3 linked regions of the Neurospora crassa OR74A genome follow. The protein of the gene in region 1 interacts with the protein of each later gene in a pairwise test. Links are inferred from orthologs where the notes say so. Each region holds a gene or a part of one and is shown on either strand. Other genes may lie near its edges.

Region 1 (5,212 bases):
GATCGGAGGGACGGATCGATGGGAGGACAACGGACAGTCTGGCGGTTGTATAGTTGGGGGTCGTTATAGCTTTGTGGATTGATTTGTTTAACTTGGAGAAAAAAAAGGTTGGGATACTGAAGTGTTGGTTGGGGGCGTGAGGAGAGGAGCCAAGGTGAAGAAAAAAAAGAGAGGGAAAGAAAGAGAAAATCAAAGGGGGAGAGGATTGACCGATCTCAACTGTTTCTCCTTCTCCTCTCATGTTTATCTATCTACCTTTGTCTCTTTGATGTAATGTTTATCTTTAGTGTTTGATTATCCATTTTCTTTTCCCCATCCCCCCCTTCCTTCTTTTAGCTTCTTCCCCTTCTTCTTCACTACCTACCTTTCTTGCTTTCTTATCATCTTATTCGTCCGTCCTACCATTCATTCATTCACGCGCTCGCGTCCTTGTGCTGCTTCTGCTCTTGTATATACTTTTCACTTTTCCATCCTTCTTTCTACACGTGTTCCTGGATGTATGTGCGTATCACTGTTAGACCATTTTCCATCTTCTATTGTTCTCGCATCGTGTGCATCTGTTATACATCTTTCTGCTTTTCTTTTTTTTCTTGCATTGCCTGGACATTGCTTTATAGAGGTGAGTGGCAGAGAGAATGATGAGATTGGTCAATCGCAGCAAGACTTTGGAAGAAGCTACGGAGGGGGGTGGGGGGAAGAAAAGAGGAAAAGAGGATATCAGGCTGTTGAGCTATAGAGAGCATATATCATACCACAGCATACCCTACCATGACTACATGATCGATAAAATGTAGTGCGATGCAGCCTTTACTTTGGATCTTCTTAGCTTGAGTATCACAACAACTCGGTTTCAACAAATAAGTATGAATGAGGGAAAGAAAAGAAAGGAAGAGTGATATAACCTAGGCTACAATGAAAAGAAAACCCAATAAAGTTCTTTGGTGGTATCAATCAAAAAGGTAAAAATAAAAAAAATCTCACAACCTTCTCCAAACCGAATAACAAAGACAAACATCAACACTGGTAATCCTCATAAGACACCGTTTGTCCGTCCATCCGTCCATGCATTCAAATGCAAAGCGATAGACTGTGTAGAGAGTAAGTAAGTAACCCAAGCCAGCCAGCCAGCCGGCTGAGAGAGATATCAATGCATGCCATCCAATGCCATCCTGTGCTCTCTCTTCCCTCCCCTGACGTAAAAAGTTCCCCTCCTCCTCCTCCTCCCAAATCTTCCATGATACTCTCTACACTTCGACTCTCACTTACTTCTTCTAATAACCCCCTCCCCTCCCCTTTCCCGCACCCTACTCACTTACTGAGTCCGATAGAACTTCTTGTACAACAAATGCAACAACAAATTCACGTTCAGCCTCAGCTGCCCCTCAAACAAATTCATAAACTGATGCGCCTCAAATTGCGCCTGTAGCAAGTCCTCGATGGGCACCAGGGCGCTGGCACCGGGCATCTGGATGTGGCCGCGGCTGCCCTCAAGACTAAAAATGCCGACCTCGTCGCACGAGATGGTGATGTTGATTTGACCCCAGTCGCGCTCGGGGATGCCCGTCCACGAGACCAGCACGCCCTTGTCCGAGAGGGCGCGGGCCGAGTACTTGAAGGAGCCGAACTTGGGGACGCGGCCGGAGCGCTCGAGCTCGCGCTGGTGGTTGTATTGCTTGGTGAAGGGGAGAAGGAAACGTTTCTTGCTGTAGGTGGGGGGTAAGTAAGGACTTGTTAGCATGCGAACCACCAGAGATGGGAGGAGACATTGGTGATGGTGATGATGTACGTACCCCTTCTTGTTCTGCAGCGTAGCCATGGCTTGCTCGATGTAATCATCGTAGCTCTTGCGCTGTTGCTCCAGATACTTTGCCTTCTCGTGAAGATTGCCGAGTGTCTGACGGACACCCTCGAGCTCTCTCTGTCTCTGAACCCTTCTCCTGCTCTTTGTGCGAATGTCCAGCGCAATGGCGTTGAGGATATCCTGGTAGTAGTTTTGCTTGGAGATACGACCCATCTGCTCCAACCTGAGGATGTTCTCGAGTGCTGTCCTCTTTAGGTCGTAGTAACTCATGCGCGTAACATCAATCATGTTCGCCTCCGAATAAGCGCCTCGGGTGTTCGAGTCGTCACCAAAGTCTTCGCGCAGAACTGTCCTCCACTTCTGCTCATCCTCCGGGGTAATTGGCTTGACAAGAATCTCAAGCAGGTTGTTACCCGTTTGCACCCGGATGATGTACAGAATGCACCTCTTGGTCTCCATAAACAGCCCCTTAGTCTCAGCTTCTGGATCCTCCATATCGTGCAGTTTGGGAGTCAGGAACAGCTGAATATCAGCGGCCCCGCCTGCGGTCATCTCATTCTCATTATTCTTGGCGTTACCGAGATCTTGAATGATCTCGCGCAGCATATCATCTCTGCTCGGGCACAGATAAGGCAACTCGGCAGCGATGAGATTGTGGATGGAAAAGATATCCGCCATCTTGATGTACAGTGTTGGCTTGTTCTTGGCGTAGAGATCGTTGAACTCGTCAATGTCGAATGTCTTCTCAGCGTCAGGTACATCGATAAGGGAATTGGTGATGTGAGCCAAGCGCTCGATTGCTTCGGCGACGAAAGCATTGAGAGGCTGGAGATAGATGTTCTCTCCGCCAAATGGTCTGCCTGATGCAATCTGGCCCAGGACTTTTGCAACCTCGCCGAGGTTACGCTTCTGGAGGGGACTCATTTGCTTTTCCGTGACTCCATATGACTCTGGGCCAAGGAGAGCAGGTTGGAGGTAGAAGCGCCAGAGCCAGTTGCTTACAAACTGGAGCACATTTTGCGGGTGGTCCCTCTGGAAATGCTGGCAGAGAGCTTCGTACGTTTGCCGGCACACAAATCTCAGGCCGTAGGGCATGCGGGGAAGCAGGTCCTCCAGGGCAAGGAGAAACTGATCGCAGATCTCTCGGAGATCCCGCAGATGATCAATGAAGAGCTCTCTGGTTTCAGGATCCTTGATGGCAACCTCACGAGGGACATCCAGAGGTCTTTGGCTGGGCCGACCGGTCCTCAACTCCTCATTGTTGATAGCAGACCGGTAGATCTGCATGGGGTCGCTTTCAAGATCCAGCGCTGGATCCTCGATAATGTTGTCTCTGATGAGGGGTCCCAAGAGATCTCTGAGATATTTCCTATCACGAGGGGATCGGGTGTAATTCTGGAGCAGCTTGGTCCAGAAGTAGTTGCCCCTCAGATAATCCTGCAGAGCGGCACATGCTTCGACTTCTTCCCTTATCGACCTGGAAATAAGCTTCAATAAGTAGTATTCCTCTCTCCGCTTTTGCGCATAGCCGAACAGCCCCATCATCAAGTGTTCAATCCGCTTTAACTCCTTTTCCGTTATTCCTTGCTCGCGGATACGCCTGAAGAGCTTAGCAAGGTACTGAGGTTGCGTCTGAAGGGTGAAGAACAGCTGCTGGTAGGACTCAAGCTTCTTGCGGGAACTCTTATTCAAAGCCTTGAGGTCAAACTGATTAGCATTTGAAATAACACTGTTGGCGAGAAGGCTGTTTGCGTGTCCGCCATAGTTGTGCTGATGTCTGACAACTTCATCAAGGGTAATTTTATTCTTGACGAGAAGTGCGATCTTGATGTCTAGCTGGTCGATGTATTGTTCCAGCATCTCGTTTTGCCGAACTTGTTGGACAACAGTCTTTCGTAGGCGCTCAAACTCTACCTCCTCATTGAAGTCAAAATCGCTGTCGTTCAGAAGATGGACAAAGTTCTTGACGGCGTTGACTGGTGGGTTCTTTCCAGATGTCAAGCTCTTGTAGGCTTCACCCTGAAGCTTGGCTCGTACGAAACTCTGAATCTTGACAACCTTTTGCATGTTCTCCCGGAAGAAGCGCTTCTTCTCCTCGTACTTGGCTCTGACCACGAAAGCCTTGGCAGCAGCCTGGAACGCCGCTACAGACTCCTCGTTTTGTTCCAGTTCATCCAAGACCATTGCAACATCGCTCCGAAGCAACATGGCCCGAGCAAGGGCTTGCAGTTCGGTGATCTCCTCGGTATTGACTGCAAGCTCATCCAACAACTCGCCACACTCCTTGCGATAAAGACATCCGCGGATGTGTGCTTGAAGGTCAATGATGTTTGGTGTCTCCTGAGTAAGAGCATCCAGATCGTCCGATAACCTCATACGTTCAAGCATACCTCGGACCATAGACTGAAGATCAATGATGGCATCCTCCGTTTCCCCGATGCTTTCAAGCTGCTCTGATATGTCCCTCCGCACTGCCGCTGCCCTAATGTGGGACTGAAGAAGGCCCATCTCAGTTGAATGCTTCTGCAACTCTTCTTTAGTAGCGTCGACGTCGGACCTAGCAACCTTGCCGCGGAAGGCAGCTTGAATAGCTGTCCATTGTGGCGCAAAGCCTTCAAGCGCTTGTAGCTGGGCATCGACCTCAGTTCTTGCTTTCATGGCCCTTACAGCAGCCTGAAGACTAGTGATGGCTTCGATGTTGCTCTCCAAGGATGCTCTTTCTTCCTCCAGATTCTTCCTCAATATCATACCACGAACTGCGCTCTGAAGTTGAGCAATCGTAGCGCCTTCGCTCTCTGTCTTTTCATGTTGCACAGCGAGCTGCTTTCGAGCCAGAAATCCTCGAAATGTTGCTTGAATGTCTCGCAGGGGTCCCGCTGCCGTCTCCAACTGTGAATGCTGCTCCCGAATCACATTGCGGACCTTGGCCGCTCTGACCATACTTTGGAGTTTCAAGACCACATCCTCGTTGCCCTTGAACTGCTCCTCGGTTTGTGTCTGCTGGCGACGAGCAAGATATCCACGCGCCGCTTTTTGTAGCTGAATCGTGAAACATGTTTGTGCATATTGCTGACGAGCGATAAATCCACGAGCTGTCTTCTGCAACTCGATCGCAAAACTTGTTTGTGCCTTTGTTTCTGCATGTCGATAGCGGGCGAGGAAACCGCGCGCTGCGCTTTGAAGCTGGACCGCGAAATTCTTCATCTGGAGCCTGTAATCCGCCACCTGGCGAGCCCAGTCACCACGAATACGAGACTGGAGATCAATGATCCAGTCTTCATTATCCCACAGATGTTGCATAGTGTAGCCAAGCTGTATCCTTTGAAGCGCCGCTCTGGCCTGGGCTTGTAACTCTACAATGGCCTCTTCGTTTTCGGCCAGTTCCCTCTCAATGCGTTCCTCCTCCGTCTC
Region 2 (3,445 bases), on another chromosome or scaffold:
CATTGTAAGTTACCAGTCTACTGCAGGAACATTACATAGATGCTTTAGATAATGCAGTATTTGAGTACTGGTTACCCCCTCTCTGGTCATCCAACACAGGAATTAACATCTCCAAAGATACCGCCAAGTGATACACCTTGCTTCCACTTCCTGACCGTACCCAGACTGAAGGCCGGAAAAGGGACATCGGAATCCCCACATCCCCTTTGAGCCCGAATTCGAAGGAAGACGGAAACGTGTTTGGCCTTGTTTCCAGTGACTATACAAACTCCAGGGCCTTGTTTTCTCATATTCATCCTTTGTGATGTTTCATGTCATTTGCCTTACCCGAAGCAAACTGACAGGGTCGAGCCCTTTTTCGAGTAGAGCGAAAAGGGATTCATGACGAATATTGTACTGCTGAGTACTGGGCAAACAACGTATACTTGGAAACACGCCTCCGTCACGCAAGAGAAGGGGACGGAAGAAAGATCAGGCGTGGAACCCAATCTAGCGTAGTTGGTTAAGACACACGTCCGGAAAGCCTTTCAGTTCCCGGTAAATGATATGTCCAAATTCATATCTTATCAAGACTCCGACGCCTGCCTGGATTATAACACATGCGATTTCCCTGTAATAGATGGTATATGACGCCTTCTCCGTGGACGGATTTGTCCCGCGATTTCTATTCGACTATGCCCCATGATGTTTGACCTCCAAACCCAGTTTCCCTCGTCATCATTCCGTACCACCTCTACTCAATATTTTAGTTGGCAAGGATGGTCCGGACAAGCTCTGTTTGCGTCGTACACATATTGTTAGTCGAGACTCCTAGGTTTCACGCAAAGGGCAAGCAAACAGCAAGTGCTGAGGCTGACATACCGGTATAGTTCACCTGGCCGGAGCTAGTATCAACGGCCTTGAGGAGCTCGTCTACCTCCTCGTCCGTCATCTTCTCGCCAAGGTTTGTCAAGATGTACTTGAGCTGTCCAACGCCGATGAAACCCGTCATGTCCTTATCAAACACCTGGAAACCGCGGCAGTACTCTTCGGGCTCGCCGGGATCACGGAAGCCACCTGGCCGGTTGAGGACGCGCTGGAAGGTCTCGAAGTCGACTGTCGGATGAGAAGGGCATCTGTTAGTAACTAATCTCAGATGAACTACTTGTTTCCGCTCGGGTATTACTCACAATCACCACCAACGTTCTTCTCGAGCTCGCGGATCTCGGCGAGCGTGGGGTTCTGGCCGCAAGCGCGGAGCAGGTCACCCAAGCTGTCGAGGGCAACACGGCCGTTGCCGCGCTTGTCGAACAGGGAGAACGCCTCCTTGTAGTTGGTAGAAGCCTGACCGTCGAACTGGTTAGATGCCATGATTCCTGAGTTGCGCTGTCGCAATGAAATGTTCTTTCAAGAATGCGGGTATGTAGTAAATCGCGGTAGGTTGAGCGTAAGCAAAAGCGCTGGCTTTGCGATCGTGCTAGAGTCGGCAATCGAGAGGACGAGGGCGATGGTTGCGAGAACAAGGCGCAGAAACCCAAGCGGCAAGGGAGCAGCGATGCGATCGAAAGTTGGCAAAATGAATGGTGTTTTTTTGGTCTGTGATGGATGGATGCCGAAGCAGGACCTGGCAGCTCAACGCTCAAGCCGGGCGCAGGCGCAGGCGCATTTTACAGGTAGTGCTCCGATTCAACGCAGAACGCTGCGGCTTCCAAGGTTGTGGCACCTTGTGCCTTTGTTGTCATGGGCAACCGCGGGGTTCCTGGCTCTTGCTTTCGCATGCTTTCTGTTTCCGTGCGTCGGGGTTGGGACTTGGGATGGAGGGATGGAGAGGGGCGCGCGCGCGTGCCAGTGCCCGCGGCGGATGAACAGGGACAGGTCCACTTACCATTGTGTCTCAGGGGGGGGAATGTCGTTTGAATGCGCAAAAGAGGACGCAAGGGCTAGTCGATGCAAGTACGCTGGCTGATGGATTCGATGCGAAAGATGATGCTATTCAGAAGAACGGTCAAGAAGCGAACCAAGGCTAGATGCAAAAGGAGTGGGCGATCGATTTGGGCTTCCCTTCCCGCCGCGAAATGAGCTGCGGACAGGGAGTTGCGCTGACTGGTCTGTGCCATTACGCAGTACCCGACCTTATGCGCCCGCATCCCGGTCGCGGTGGCAGCCAATGGAGGGCAACCACCCACTGGCACTGGTGACAACTCGCGATACAGCAGCACTGCATGCCCGCTAGCTCAATCGAGAGAGACATCTACTGACAGAGAGCACCTTGGTTACGCAAGGGGGCCGGTGATACTGCCCGGATAGCAGGTTCAACGTCAGCCACCACCACTGTACAGTATCGTCTCTTCACCACACTTAATTGTACACTACCTTTCCAGTTCATCGTCTCTTCGCCATCAACAAAACGGTTCCCCAAATAGCATCAACCTCGATTTCGGCCCATCGATCCCCCGCCGCTTTCCATTCCGGCACCGCAGCAACAACCTCGTCAAACATCAAGTCAACAATGTCGCCCTCTCCTCCGTCCGCCCTGCACTTCATCTGGGGATGGGCGCTTCCCCAACCACTGAAGGCACTGAACGTGCGAATATAGCTCGCCAACTCGCCCAACTTGAGCCTCCGACGCAACCAAGTGGCCTCTTCCGGAGCATCGCTAATGTCGCCCGTCTCACGATTGGGATCCCAAGCAATACGGACCACATGTTCCCATTCCCTCTCGGGAGGGACCACCTCCCGCAGTGAATCCCGTAATATGTTCCGGCCGGGTTGTTCCCAAAAGCACATCATGCTTTCCACGCCCGGCACCGGCTCTGTCTCGCCGTAGATGAACCTGTCAAAGATGGGCGTTGTTTCCGGCCGCCCAACGATGATGTGGTCCTTGTAACCCCAGAAAGCCAGGGTTCCGCCGCGCTTCACGACCCGTGCAAGTGCTGGCCAGACCTTGGAGTAGTCAAACCAATGCGCCGCTTGGCCAGCAACCACACAGTCAACGGCATTGTCGTCAAGGAAAGAAAGGTCCTCGGCTCCGCCTTGCTTGAACGTAATCTTGGAGTTGTCGCCGGTTAGCTTGCGAGCCTGTTCAATCATGCCGGCCGAAGGATCAAGGGCGATAACACGGTTGAAATAGGGAGCGAGTGCGCGCGCCACTAAGCCATGTCCGCAGCCAAGGTCTAGCAGTGTTCCAGCTGCCGGCGAAGACGACGATGGTGATGGGGAGGAAGGGGCCTCTTTGCCGTGAAATCTCAACACCCGGTCGTAAAGAACCGAGGGATATGAGGGCCGAAAGGCAGCATACCCAGCAGAGGAGAACGTCGAGCGGCTATCGTGGAAACATGTCAATGATTACAGTAAGCAATGCGCCAATGCTGTCAGTAGGCAAGTATGTAAACAAGAGGTGGAGACTTACCCGAAGATGGACATTCTCAAAGACCACCCAAACAAACGCACCAAATCACAAACAGTG
Region 3 (4,131 bases), on another chromosome or scaffold:
AAGGCTGAGAAGCGCGGAGGAAACAATGCGGATGGCGGTAGACACTAGACAGTAAGAATACCTACCCATTGTGTCAGCGAAAAGCCATCTGTGGTTTCTGCCACTGGTTTGCAATCCTGGCCATGTTTGATCATAAGGAAACGGCTGCTTGTTACTCGGTTCCTGAAGCGGTGAGGATCGCTTAGTTGGATTCGGTAGGTATGGCCGCCTCCCCTTCAAGTCAATAAGACATTACGGTGGATCCGATACCTTGACGGCTAGCAATTCCCCTTTTCTCCTTGGCTTGCACGTATCTCACGACCAACGAAAGGGCAGCTGAAGGTGCTCAGAAATACAGAACGCTGTTTGAATTTTGATGATCTCTTCATCCACGATAACCTCGAATTTCCCAGTGGTGACTAAATCTTGCTGCTAAAAGTGTAGTAAATAGAGAAAGGGTGTTGGCAAGATCAAGAAGCCCGCATACTTGACCGCGCCTATCCCACGCATTCGCAGCCGTCGCCGCCCACCCAGAAAACAGAAAAAAAAGGCCATTATTTATGTCTTCTAGTAGAGAAAAGAGACGCCAGCCCCCTTCTGACCACGCTCGCTACTTTTTGTATAAGAGAGACCTGTGCAGAATACACGCGCAATGCAGACATGCTACTTGACGCAGATAGGGGTGTTATGTCCCCAGTTGGCGCTGGCTCGTGACAGTCGTGGATTTGTCCATTTATTGAACTACATACATGGTGTAAGCCGACGACGCTCCGCTTCCAACTGCAACAACCACCTCTCAAGGGCACCCACTTTAGAAGCACTTGCGGTGCACGATCGAGGGACCGCTCTCGTCGTACTCCTGCTTGGAGATCCACATCTGCTGGAAGGTCGAGAGCGAGGCGAGAATGGAACCACCGATCCAGACGGAGTACTTGCGCTCGGGAGGAGCAATGATCTTGACCTTCATGGAAGAAGGAGCAAGAGCAGTGATCTCCTTCTGCATACGGTCGGAGAGACCAGGGTACATGGTGGTACCACCAGACTAGTGACGATTCTGTTAGCGGACCTAGCCTATACTGCCATCTCCACAGCGAACGGGGACTTACCATGACAATGTTGCCATAGAGATCCTTCCTGACGTCGACATCGCACTTCATGATGGAGTTGAAAGTGGTGACGTGGATGCCGCCAGATTCGAGACCAAGGACGGAAGGCTGGAAGAGAGCCTCAGGGGCACGGAAACGCTCGTTGCCGATGGTGATGACCTGACCGTCGGGAAGCTCGTAGGACTTCTCGAGAGAAGAGCTCTGGGCAGCGGTCTGAATCTCCTGCTCGAAGTCGAGAGCGACGTAGCAGAGCTTCTCCTTGATGTCACGAACGATTTCGCGCTCGGCGGTGGTGGAGAAGGTGTAACCACGCTCAGCGAGAATCTTCATGAGGTAGTCGGTAAGATCACGGCCAGCCATGTCAACACGGGCAATGGCGTGGGGAAGGGCGAAACCCTCGTAGATGGGGACGACGTGAGTGACACCGTCACCGGAGTCGAGGACGATACCGGTGGTACGACCGGAGGCGTAGAGAGAAAGGACGGCCTGGATGGAGACGTAGAAGGCGGGGGCGTTGAAAGTCTCGAAAACGATCTGTGTCATCTTCTCACGGTTGGACTTGGGGTTGATGGGAGCCTCGGTAAGAAGGACGGGGTGCTCCTCGGGGGCGACACGGAGCTCGTTGTAGAAGGTGTGATGCCAAATCTTCTCCATGTCGTCCCAGTTGGTAACGACACCGTGCTCGATGGGGTACCTGAGAGTAAGGATACCACGCTTGGACTGAGCCTCATCACCGACATACGAGTCCTTCTGGCCCATACCGATCATGATACTGGCATGTTGTCAGTTTTTTCTGAAAGTCTTGGAGTGTTGCGCGCACGGGACGCGGGGGGGAAAGTGGCATGCATACCCATGATGACGGGGACGACCGACGATGGAAGCTATCGCGACATGTTAGCATGGCTGGGACGTTGGGTCTTGGCGGGGAGGCAAGTAGCTCTGCTGACACGTTGCCCGTCTCAAGCAAGAGCACCTCGCGGGAATAGTGGGAACACTTACGGAAAACAGCTCTGGGGGCGTCATCACCGGCGAAACCGGCCTTGCACATACCCGAACTGGGCGGTTGTTAGCTACTGTCCATCGTCATTGTTCACCATGTAGAACGGGCTATGGGGGGGCCGCGAGGCGTCGATTGCGGGAGGAATATGACGCTTCTCCTAGGAGTCGGTGAGGCGCAGGCGAAAAGGAGGGGAAAGCTTACCCATTGTCGATGACGAGGGCGGCAACTTCTTCTGTTGGCGGGAACGCATGAATCAGCTTGTGCCCATGATAACCAGTAGAGGGAGATGGCGATGGTAGAAGTCCGATCCGCCGGCGACCAGCTCGCCAGCGCGGGCAGACTGGGCAGGAATGTGGACATGTTGTTACGTACCCTCCATTGTGATAGATTAGGTGGTGACGAAAAGTGTCGGATTAAGCAAAAGGTACAGAAGAAGAGTTATTAAATACGCTCGACGATTCCCGGATCGATGGAGCGATGATGCTTTGGCTGAGAGAGGTGTTGCCGAAGGACGTAGAGACGTTGTTTGGGCAAAAATTTGGATGTTGTTCGGTAGGCGGAAGAGTTGGAAAAGGGGAGGTGAATTTAAGGTCAGCTTTGGGAGTACGAGGCGGCGGGTGGATTGAGGGGGGTAAAGGTAGGGGAGGTAAGGGGATGGGATTGCTGTGGTGCCAGGTGCGAGGGAACGGATGGCGGACTGGGGGGGGGAGGGGAGGGGACGGTTGATTCCATTGGGGACGGGACTGGGCCGGGACTGTCTGCACTGGGCATTGCTGGCTGCTAGGTCCAGTTGGTTGGACTGGGCCTGGTCACCTCACGGCGTGGTTGTGGGACTTGGCGGCGGAGGAGGAGGAGGAGGAGGAAGGAAAGGCGGGCAAGGACGACACCGATGTCACTGAGTGGTACTGACAGTGAGTGCCCGGCCGACTTCCAGGTCCCAACAAGCATTCATTTCATCCTCGCCGGGCTGCTGCGCTGCCTGCACTCCATGTTGCCCGGTTCACGACGGGATGGATCACCACAGTAGACTACAAGTACAAACCTAGAGGTAACTGCGCTGCCTTCTTCCCAGGCCGTCCCCTCTCCCTCGCTGTTCGCTTTCCACACCCCTACTCTAAATCATCAAATCACTGGCCGCACCGCCCCCTTGCCCTCTGGCATCTTCGTGGACAAGTTGTCAAGTCGCAGTATCATGCCTGATTCGAGGTGGCTCAAGGTGGATTCCTGAGTGGCCTGCGATCCGTCTGGAAAGTGGGTAGGAGACACCGCCTAATTTTGGGAGGGCAAAGGGGATCTTCCTGCCGCCAACACACTTTGGGAGGCTTCCGCACCTCGGAGGCGACGTCTAGGTTGACATCAATGCCCGTCTGGCAACTGGCAGCCCGTTCAAGATCCCCTTTGATTTCAGTCTACCTAACTACATTGGATACCTACACGACCTGACTTGTATACTATGTAAAAGGATATCATATCGCAGCACGGCCGGGGTCGTCACCGCTGCGTGCCGTTCGACGGGTGCAGCTAGACAGACGGTTCAGTTGTACGTAGCGTAGGTAGTACCTAGTGAGCACGGTGGGAGCGTGGTGCGTGGCTGGGTCCGCCCCCGACGTTGTGTCAGCGTTCAGTCTTCTTCAACCTAATGTCCCTCCCCTGCGTCGTTGCCGTCGTACCTGGTCGCTGTCCCTTGTCGTACCCCGTTCATTACTTGTTTATTACTCCTCCTGGAGAACCGCGATTGCAATTCCAGAAGATCCAATGTCTTCTTTACCGTCTCTTCTGTTGGAGCCTGGCTGATCACGATCTCTTGGAGCTTGTCCGGATCGCAATTCCCATGGCCCCGGGGCCCGAGTGTCTTGAAGGCTCCATGGCCGCCCCGGTCCGGGATCCGACGGAGATAGATATGTAGCCTACGGTATGCACCACTTGGGTCCATACGGTACGGGGACCTCCAGCAGCGGTGTCATTTCCAAGGAAACGCCATCTCATTGGGGATGAGAACGAGGTATTGCCACAGTCCAACACCACCACCACAACCACCACCACCCA

What was found.
Region 2: the proteins of NCU03116 (region 1) and NCU06617 interact in a two-hybrid assay, tested with the Schizosaccharomyces pombe proteins (2 studies listed by BioGRID). The link is inferred for Neurospora crassa OR74A from reciprocal best matches to the Schizosaccharomyces pombe genes rng2 and cdc4.
Region 3: the proteins of NCU03116 (region 1) and act interact in binary tests that used the Schizosaccharomyces pombe proteins (3 or more experiments, as listed by UniProt). The link is inferred for Neurospora crassa OR74A from reciprocal best matches to the Schizosaccharomyces pombe genes rng2 and act1.

What each region holds. Positions count from the first base shown.
Region 1 is NC_026501.1:4,613,324-4,618,535, forward strand, and holds the end of NCU03116 (Ras GTPase activating protein), read right to left. Parts: coding exon 1,791-5,212; intron 1,704-1,790; coding exon 1,313-1,703; 3' UTR 796-1,312; downstream 1-795. UniProt on the Schizosaccharomyces pombe protein: Component of the contractile F-actin ring; required for its construction following assembly of F-actin at the division site.
Region 2 is NC_026504.1:1,814,779-1,818,223, reverse strand, and holds NCU06617 (myosin regulatory light chain cdc4), read right to left. Parts: upstream 1,999-3,445; 5' UTR 1,868-1,998; coding exon 1,865-1,867; intron 1,324-1,864; coding exon 1,170-1,323; intron 1,096-1,169; coding exon 862-1,095; intron 775-861; coding exon 746-774; 3' UTR 501-745; downstream 1-500. Other genes in the region: NCU06616 (S-adenosylmethionine-dependent methyltransferase), read right to left, coding at 2,362-3,301, 3,389-3,402. UniProt on the Schizosaccharomyces pombe protein: Involved in cytokinesis. Required for the formation and function of the contractile ring.
Region 3 is NC_026505.1:5,085,439-5,089,569, reverse strand, and holds act (actin, variant), read right to left. Parts: upstream 2,801-4,131; 5' UTR 2,465-2,800; coding exon 2,458-2,464; intron 2,318-2,457; coding exon 2,287-2,317; intron 2,141-2,286; coding exon 2,085-2,140; intron 1,967-2,084; coding exon 1,936-1,966; intron 1,858-1,935; coding exon 1,086-1,857; intron 1,022-1,085; coding exon 791-1,021; 3' UTR 790-790; exon of another isoform or gene 721-789; 3' UTR 323-720; downstream 1-322. Other genes in the region: NCU04174 (hypothetical protein), read left to right, coding at 1-48. UniProt on the Schizosaccharomyces pombe protein: Actins are highly conserved proteins that are involved in various types of cell motility and are ubiquitously expressed in all eukaryotic cells.